2 linked regions of the Cricetulus griseus genome follow. Each later gene encodes a partner of the first gene's protein in a complex. Links are inferred from orthologs where the notes say so. Each region holds a gene or a part of one and is shown on either strand. Other genes may lie near its edges. The genes, in order: gastric inhibitory polypeptide receptor and Gip.

The links.
Region 2: the proteins of gastric inhibitory polypeptide receptor (region 1) and Gip are in contact, whole or in part, in a cryo-EM structure (PDB 7RA3), measured with the Homo sapiens proteins. The link is inferred for Cricetulus griseus from reciprocal best matches to the Homo sapiens genes GIPR and GIP. Residues at the interface, in NP_000155.1 of Homo sapiens: Gln30, Thr31, Ala32, Leu35, Tyr36, Trp39, Tyr68, Trp71, Leu88, Trp90, Arg101, Arg113, His115, Asn120, Gln130, Arg131, Leu134, Glu135, Leu137, Gln138, Tyr141, Tyr145, Arg183, Ile187, Arg190, Asp191, Pro197, Gly198, Pro199, Tyr200; in NP_004114.1 of Homo sapiens: Tyr52, Ala53, Glu54, Gly55, Thr56, Phe57, Ile58, Ser59, Asp60, Tyr61, Ser62, Ile63, Ala64, Met65, Asp66, Lys67, Ile68, His69, Gln70, Gln71, Phe73, Val74, Trp76, Leu77, Leu78, Lys81.

What each region holds. Positions count from the first base shown.
Region 1 is NC_048602.1:28,197,477-28,201,850, forward strand, and holds the start of gastric inhibitory polypeptide receptor, read left to right. Parts: upstream 1-1,551; coding exon 1,552-1,608; intron 1,609-2,005; coding exon 2,006-2,105; intron 2,106-2,613; coding exon 2,614-2,721; intron 2,722-3,079; coding exon 3,080-3,183; intron 3,184-4,374. UniProt on the Homo sapiens protein: This is a receptor for GIP. The activity of this receptor is mediated by G proteins which activate adenylyl cyclase.
Region 2 is NC_048600.1:109,160,529-109,164,983, forward strand, and holds the start of Gip (gastric inhibitory polypeptide), read left to right. Parts: upstream 1-1,540; 5' UTR 1,541-1,552; coding exon 1,553-1,638; intron 1,639-4,455. UniProt on the Homo sapiens protein: Potent stimulator of insulin secretion and relatively poor inhibitor of gastric acid secretion.

The sequences.
Region 1 (4,374 bases):
CAAGCACGACATCAGAGGTTGTCCTCTGACCCTCACACCCATGCATATGTACACACAGATACATACGCCGAAGAATGACAGCGGAAAGGTCATTGTATTAGGACTATGGGTTGCCAGGTAGTGTTTGCATGTGTGTGAAATGTCCACGGCCCTGGGCACACAGCCAGCCGCCTGTCCCTGTGGGTGATTGTGAGCCCGGGGGTGAAAACTGGCTTTCTCAGCATGGACGCACTTATATAGCTGTGAATGAACTTGCTACTCACAGAGTCACACTCCATGCGTGCCAGGCTCCAAGTGTAAGTGGCTGGACGGTAGAGTGTGTGTTCTGTGTGGCTGGGGGTGGGGTGGGGTGGGGGAGGGCCGGACCATAACTGTGTGGCTGCTCCTACGTGACACAGAGTGGCTGTGATAAACGTGCCTGCTCCGCAGTTCCCACTCTTCCCCAGAGCTACCCCCCTCCTGTTCTGTTCCACCCTGGCCCCGCCCCCTCCAACACCCCAGGCTGCCAGCGCCTGTCACCTCTTCCAGAGCTCAGACAGGCGAGGCAGGGCAGCTGTGGCAGGAGAAGGAGACCCGGAGATTAGGAGCAGGGACTGGGCACAGGTAAGGGGTCCCCATCAACCCCCTGCCCTGGGTCTATCTCTCCCTCGTCTCTGTCTCTCTGTCTCTACCTTTGTCTCTCTCTCTCTCTGCCTTTAGCCCGGTCATCCCTCCCTTCACCTCTCAGTCTCTAGTGGGCTTAATTTCCACTCTTTTCCCATTCTCTCTCTGTCTCTCCCGGCTCACTCCTTTTGGTCTCCGAGCCCACATTTTTGTCTCTGCCCTTTTTTGCCTTTTGGTCTCTGATCTCCTGCTATGTCTCATTGTCCCTGAGTCTGAGATTCCCTCCTGAAACCCTGCTTTCGGTCGGGGTGGGTGATGCTTGCTTGCGGAGTATTTAGCATGCTAAAGTCAGAAACCCAGGCTCTAATTTCCCAGTATTTGGATGCTAGGAGAACGTTGTCTTTCTGACTCTGGGCTTTATGTATCCAAAGCCAGGAAAGTTTTAGAAGATGGGTTCCTATCTCATTTAAAAAAACATTTTGGGTTGGGAAGATGGGAACTCAAATGGTCATTTCAGGTTCCCTTCTAGACTTGACTGATGGTTTCTATCTCCTCCCCACCCAACTCCCCAACCCCCACCCCACACACACCAGAAGGTCCCAGGTTCCTGAGTCTCTCCAGTCTAGCCTCTGGTTGACACTGAGGCTTCTGCCCGTCACAGCTCTAGGGCAACAGGCCCCTCAGCAAACACCCCTCCCTTCCACCTTGGCTGCCTCAGCAACACTTAGGAGGGCCTGGGAATCGCTGAGCTGATCAGGGCTGCACTTAACCACTGGAGGCCTCGCCTAGTCCGGCCCCACCCCAAATCCTCCTCACCTGTGCATAAATGGGGGTGGCCTCAGACTCAGTGTGCATCTGGCAGGTGAGCACTGACTGAGGCTGAAAGTGTTGATCCTGCCCTGGGACCCTCCAACCCAACTGCCTGCCAGTCTCCATCACCCTTCAAGGATGCCCCTGTGGCTTCTGCTGCTGTGTCTGTGGGGACTGCCCCTCCAGAAGGCGGAGGTGAGGACCCAGAGAGACACAGGCGGTCTGGGAGGGTTTTAAGCCTTCTCCTGCCTCAAGGAGAGTTCTGAGGCTGCAGTCTGGTGGTTTGTACCCACACCTTCCCTCACAAGTCCTCCCGGTGGGTGGGGTGCAGCCACCGCCCTTCTCTGGTGCTCTGAAAAGTTTGTCGTCTCTCATGTCAGAACCCTTGGTGCTCTGAAAAATTTGTCATCTCTCATGTCAGATCCCTTGGTGGTTTTCTAGGCGCCAGAATTATTCCATCTAAAAGATTTGTAAACCACCCAGGAGGCTCTGCATCTCCAAAACGGGTGCTTCTGGCCCTTCCCAATCGAGCTTGCTGCCTGGGAGGGGGTCACCCTGGGGGTGGGGGTCCTCTCTTCCCTTTTTCTCTTAGACAGACTCTGAGGGGCAGACAACGGGGGAGCTGTACCAGCGCTGGGAGCGCTATGGCCGGGAGTGCGAGGAGACCCTGGAGGCTGCAGATGCTCCCTCAGGTCTGATGAGAGGGCTGGGCGAGCAGGAGGGAGGGGCCGAGATGAGGAGGGGGAGGCCGAAGAGGAAAATCTGGGAGGTTTCCGAGGACATTTGGGGTGCGGTTTGGCTCGGGTAGGCTGTGAGGACCCTGGTTGGATTCAGTTGAATAGAAGAATCCTTAATCTCAGCACTCGGCAGGCAGAGGCAGGCGGATCTTTGTGAGTTCGAGGCCAGCCAGCTCTGCAGGGCGAGTTCCAGGGCCGGGGAGGTGGGATGGGTCCTGGGCGGGGCCTGCGCCACAATGGGCGGGCTGGGTTTGGGTGGAGTTGGATAATTAAGCTTTCTGGTTGAGAATAATAATACAGGGTTGGGCTTTATTTGATGGGAGGAGCCTCGGGAACTGCTGGGATGGATGGATGGGTGAGAGGAGCTTGTGGCCGCTGAGACAGCATCCTGTATGTGTGGAAGAAAGGGAAGCTTGGGACGCCCCTCTCCTCCAGCCTCCGGCTCTGCTGCCCTCTCCTTCAGGCGTGGTCTGTAACGGGTCCTTTGATATGTACGTCTGCTGGGACTACACGGCCGCCAACACCACCGCCCGGGCATCCTGCCCCTGGTATCTGCCCTGGTACCGCCACGGTGAGGCGCTCCCCGAACCCCTCTCCGGGACTCCACATTTGGGCAGCTCACCCTCCTGCTCCTATTCGTCCCCTGACCCTGTCTGTCAAGCCTGGTGTTTCCGTGGGCTCTGTCACACAATTCTTAATTTATTGTGCGGCTGTGCGGATGCACAGGCTATGCGGTGAGATGATGATAAGAGATCAATTTACAGTAATCCTTTCACCATCTGGGTCCCAGGCGCTACCAACTCCTCCAGGGACCAGGCTGGCCTTGAGCTCATGGCAACCCTCCTGTCTCAGCCTCCCAATTGTGGAGATTACAGTGGTGAACCGCTTACACACCTCTTTCTCTGGTCCCCTCTCTATTGCTCCCCTAGTGGCTGCGGGCTATGTCTTCCGCCAGTGTGGCAGTGATGGCCAGTGGGGGCCTTGGAGAGATCACACTCAGTGTGAGAATCCAGAGAAGAACGGGGCCTTCCAGGTGAGAAGAGGTGAAGGACTCAGGCTAGGCTGTCTGGGGAGAGTTGGCAAAAACACCTCAGGAGCTTCAAGCCCAACTTGTCACCTCTTTGTACTGAGTAGAACTCTGGCTTGTTAGTAATTAAAATCCAACTCAGACTGGCTTAAAGTAGAAAAAAGAAAGGGGTGCTGGTTTCCGAGATGGAAACCTACACTATAAGGTCACACCTCCAGGTTGCGTAAGACCTAAGTGTCCAAATGACACGGGCTCTGTCACCTTGGCATGTTGGTCTTTCTCTGTTAGCTTGAGTTTTTCTGTGGGACATCAAGAAGAGGCATCGCCCATTAATGTCAGACTTGTTTTATTTTTTTAAAAAGATTTTATTTATTTATCAGGTATACAAAATTCTGCTTCCATGTATATCAGCACACCAGAAGAGGGCACCAGATCTCATAACGGATGGTTGTGAGCCACCATGTGGTTGCTGGGAATTGAACTCAGGTCCTCTGGAAGAACAGTCAGTGCTCTTAACCTCTGAGCCATCTCTCCAGCCCCCAGACTTTTTTTTTTTTTTTTTGGTTTGTTTTTTTCGGGGTTTCTCTGTGGCTTTGGAGCCTGTCCTGGAACTAGCTCTTGTAGACCAGGCTGGTCTCGAACTCACAGAGATCCTCCTGCCTCTGCCTCCCGAGTACTGGGATTAAAGGTGTGCGCCACCAACACCCGGCTTAAAAGTCCTTTATTAGAGTGTGTGTGCGAGTGTGCACCATAGCGTATGTAGAGAGGACAACTTTGTGTATTTGGTTCTTTCTTTCCACCTTTCTGAGGATCCCAGGTGGACTCAGGTCACCAGGTTTGTGCGGCAAAGGCACCTGCTGAGCCATTTTGCCATCTCTCTTTTTTTTTTTTGTGGTGATTTGAGACAGGAGGATCTCATTGTGTAGTTGTGGCTCACTCTGTAGACCAGGCTGGCATGCATGTGCGCGTGCTTGTGTGTGTGTGCTTGTGTGTGTGTGTGTGTGTGCGCGAGCGCGCGTGTGCTTGTGTGTGTGTGTGTGTGTGTGTGTGTGTGTGTGTGTGTGTTAATATGCACATCCAGGGGCCTGGAGAGATGGCTCAGTGGTTAAGAGCACTGACTGCTCTTCCAGAGGTCCTGAGTTCAATTCCCAGCACCCACATGGTGGCTCACAACCACCTTGAATGAGATCGGGTGCC
Region 2 (4,455 bases), on another chromosome or scaffold:
ACAATCTCAGTACTTAGAGGCAGAGGGAAGAAGATCAGAGGTTCAAGGACAACGTCAGCTACATATCAAATGAGACCAACTTGGGCTACATGTCTAGAAAATATATCTTTGTGGAGGGTGTTAGATCTTTCTGGAGCCTTCAACATATAATTGTGCCATGTCATACTGCCCAAGTAGGAAACCATGTGACTGTAAACTCCAAGTTCATCAGAATCACTAGGGATTCTGAAGACACCCACCCCCAGGTAGCCTCATCTCTGCACTGCCACCACCATCAATTAATATCCATATCTGGGATTCAGACCACCACTGTCCCTTCTCTTCCCCCAGAAGTCACCTACGGCTTTGTGGGGATGCCCCCTCCATCAGAGAGTGCCACCTCAGTTACCCTTCACCCAGGTAACCCTTTCTATCCGCAGCACCCAACAGGAAGTAGGGCAGAGAAAAGTGGGCCCAATGCCCAGAAAAGAGGGGAAGGAAAATGGGGTGTTCAAATGACCTTGCCCACAAGGGCTGGAGATACCCAAATGTTAATCACCCATTAGCACAGCCCAGGTGGACAGGGAACCGTCATTAGGTGTGCAATAGACTTCACTGGGCAGGAGCAGTGGGCTTGAGTACCTGAGATAAGAGGCTCTCAGGCTAATCAGCGGCTCTGCAGCACCTGCATATAAAGAAGCTAAGATGGGTCTTGAAGCAAGGTCCTGAGAGCCAACGGGAGAAGGAAGGGACCCTATCCTGCCCTCCTGGAAGAGCTAGAAGAGCAGTGGGGTAAGAAAGAGGCCGGGATAGCAATGGAATAGCCTGGGAGGAAGTGTGTCTCCTGGCCCCTTACTCTGTCTCCTTATCTGTACGGGAATCCAGAAGATAGTTCAAAGGGATTCCCAGGGAGACCAGGTCTCCAAGCCTTGGGCTAGCTCTGGCCTTCAGGGATCTGGAGGAAGGTTTCTTGCTGCCTGCTGTCTCTCCAGAAGACTGAAAGAGGAGGAAGGTTTCTTGCTGCCTGCCGTCTCTCCAGAAGACTGGATTGGGTTCAGAAGAAACTTTAGGAAGAACTTCCAAGTTGCGATAGTTAAGCCCAAGTGTGTGTGTGTGTGTGTGTGTGTGTGTGTGTGTGTGTGTGTGTGTGTGTGTAGGATGGTTCTCTGTGTGGTTTCATCTAGAGAAGGGATTTGATGGCTGAGTAACAGCTTAGTTGGAAGCGGGAAGGTGGGCTGCTGTGAACTTTGTCGGGGCTTTAAGGGGATAATCTTGCCAAATCCTGTCCCTGTGATGTCTGGTAATGAGCCAGAAAGGGAGTTCCCACCACCTAGGCCTTTGCTGATTTCTTCCCAGACCTTCCACCCCACCCCACTCCGAAACCACACAGCAAGATCAGCTCTGGGTCAAGGCTCCATGCCCCTTCCAGTCCCTTCCTGTAACCCTAACTTGCTCCTGCCCCACCCCAGCTCTCAGAACTTGCCCAAGTCCCAGCATCAAATGGCCTCCTGGATGTCCCCTCAGTGCAGTACTGGCCCTTTTTCCTTTCAGCTCAGGCACTCAACCTAGGAAGATGGTGGCTATGAAGATCTGCTCTCTGCTGCTAGTGCTCCTCTTCCTGGCGGTCGGGCTGGGAGAAAAAGAAGAGGCTCAATTCAGGTAGGAGTGGAAGGTGGAGGGGGCTGGAATATAAGCTGGTTTGGGATAGGGATTGTGAGAAAGGGACTCCAGGCTGAGAGGAGGGGAGTTAAAGAGGAGAGCCAGTCTGCAGCCTGAGCATGTCGGCTTATTTATTGCGAGTTCCCGTTGAAATGAGAAAGACTGGGGTTAGCTAGGTCTGTGGAAGGACTTTTTGGTGGCAGAGAGTCTGCAGTGTAGGGTCTCCCTTACAAAAACTAACCATCATTGATGCATGCACACATTCACTCAGATCTCATAAGCGCTTCCTGTGCACTAGACACGGTCAGAATACATGTGAACCAAGGTTCACTGATGGCTCCTGCCTTCAGTGAGTACATGGACCACGGCAGACACAGAAAAGAACCATATAAACATGTTACAGAGTGCCAGGCGGTGGTGGCGCATGCCTTTAACCCCAGGCAGAGGCAGGTAGATCTCTGTGAGTTCGAGGCCATTCTGGTTTACAAAGCTACACAAAGAAACCCTGTCTTGGAACAAGCAAACAAACATGTTACTGAGTACAGTGGACCAGACCTGTGATGGGATAATATTGAGTGTGGCAGTTCACTCCTATAACTTTAACTTCAGCACTTGGCAGGCAAGAGACAAGGAAAACTGAAAAGTATGAGGCTAGCCTGGGCTACATAACAAGACCAGAGTCTGGAGGAGGGAGAGGAGGGGGGAGAAGAGGAGGAGGAGGAGAAGGAGGAGGAGGGAGGAGGAGGAGGAGGAGGAGGAGGAGGAGGAGGAGGAGAAGGAGGAGGCGGAGGCAGAGGAGATGATGAGAGTCAGAGAGGCAGAGCCAGAGCTCTGATGGTGTGTTTGGGGACCGAGGCAGAGGCTTGTCAAATAGTACTGGATTTTGTCAGATGAAAGGGCAATCCATGTACCACACAAAGTTGGCACACATGAAATGTGAGCAAAAGTTGTCAGAAATACCTACCAGGAGAGCAGACCTTGTGTTTGTTTAGAACAATGACTCAGGCCAGGCAGTAGTGTCATATGCCCTTAATCTCTGCACTTAGGAGGCACAGGAAGGCAGATAGCTCTGAGTTAGAGGCCAGCCTGGTCTACAGATCTAGTTCCAAGACAACCAGGGCCACACAGAGAAAAGCTGGCTCAAAAAGCCAAAAAGCAAAACAAAACAACAGAGGCAGGCAGTGAGTTCCAGGCCAGCCAGGGCTACAAAGTGAGACCCTGTCTCAAAAAAAAAAAAAAAAAGAACAGAAACTCAGGAAGCCAGTGTCGTGTGTCATGCTGCCTACATCCCCGGACTAGTGAGAGGGCTCAGGAAGATCAGGAGTTCATGGTGAACTTGAGCTACACAGTGAGCTTGAGGCCAGCCTGGGATACAAGAGATCTTGCTTCCCAGAACCTTAACAAACCTAAAGCAGCAACAACAACAATCCCAGAGGGTTGGGGCCGGGAAACACTCCTCGGTGGTACAGAACTTGCCTGGCATGCATGAGACTTATAGATTCCATCCCTAGAACTGAAAGACAAACAGTGCCCCCTCCCAGAAACCTGGCTCCAAATTAATTAGTGAATCCTGAATCTGTCATTTATACTGTGTGGGACCCTGTTTTCCTCATTCACAAAATAGGGACACAGAAGGCAGGCAAACTGGTGGTGGTGGTTGTTCAAAACAGAGTTTCTCTGTGTAGCCCTGGCTATCCTGGAACTCATTCTGTAGACCTTGAACTCAGATCCCTGTTTCCCAAGTGTTGGGATTAAAGGCATGCACCATCACCATCACCACCACCACCAGGCTAAGCGTGGTGAAACACTTACCTGGCATGTGCAAGGTCCTGGATTTGATCCCAGAACCAAAGAGAGAGAGAGAGAGAGAGAGGAGAGAGAGAGAGAGAGGAGAGAGAGAGAAAGAGAGAGAGAGAGAGAGAGAGAGAGAGAGAGAGAGAGAGAGAGAGGAGGAGGGCTGGGGAGATGGCTCAGTGGTTAAGAACACTGGTTTCTCTTCCAAAGGACCAGGGTTCAAGTCCCAGTACCCACAAGGCAGCTCACAGTCTAACTGTAGTTCCAGTGGATCCAACACCTTCACACAGACATGCATGCAGGCAAAACACTAATGTACATAAAATAAAAATAAATTTAAGAAAAGGAGGGGGGGGCTGGAGAGATGGCTCAGCGGTTAAGAGCACTGACTCTTCTTCCAGAGGTCCTGAGTTCAGTTCCCAGCAACCATATGGTGGCTCACAACCATCTTGAAAGAGACCTGGTGCCCTCTGCTAGCATGCAGGTGGAAGACATAATAGATAAATAAAATCTTTAAAAAAAAAGAAAAAGAAAAAGAAAAAGGAGATGAGATACAAATAGTACCTGTCTGATAGGGCTGTGATGGGATAATTTTGTGTACTAAAAAGTTTGTACAGACTGGGGATGTAGTGCAGTGGTAAGACACTTGCCTAATGTATACAAGGCACTGGGTTCAATTCCCAGTACCGAAAAAAAATATAAACCAAAGCTCTCATGCAGTGCTTGAGTCAAAGTAAGTACTCTCTGTGATGTCACCAAATACTGTTATTGTTGGTGTTGCTATATTGACACAGGATCTAAATATGTAGCCCAGGGCAGTTTAAAACTTTGGCATCTGGGGCCAGTGAGATGGCTAAGAGGGTAAAGTCACTTGCCCAGCGATGCAAGCCCGACAACCTGAGTTCAATCTGCAGAGGGCACAAAAATGTGGGAGGAGAGAAATAACTCCACAGAGGCACCCACTGGCCTGCACATGTGCTCTGTCATGGAAACATCCCATAATAATAATAAAATATAAACAAC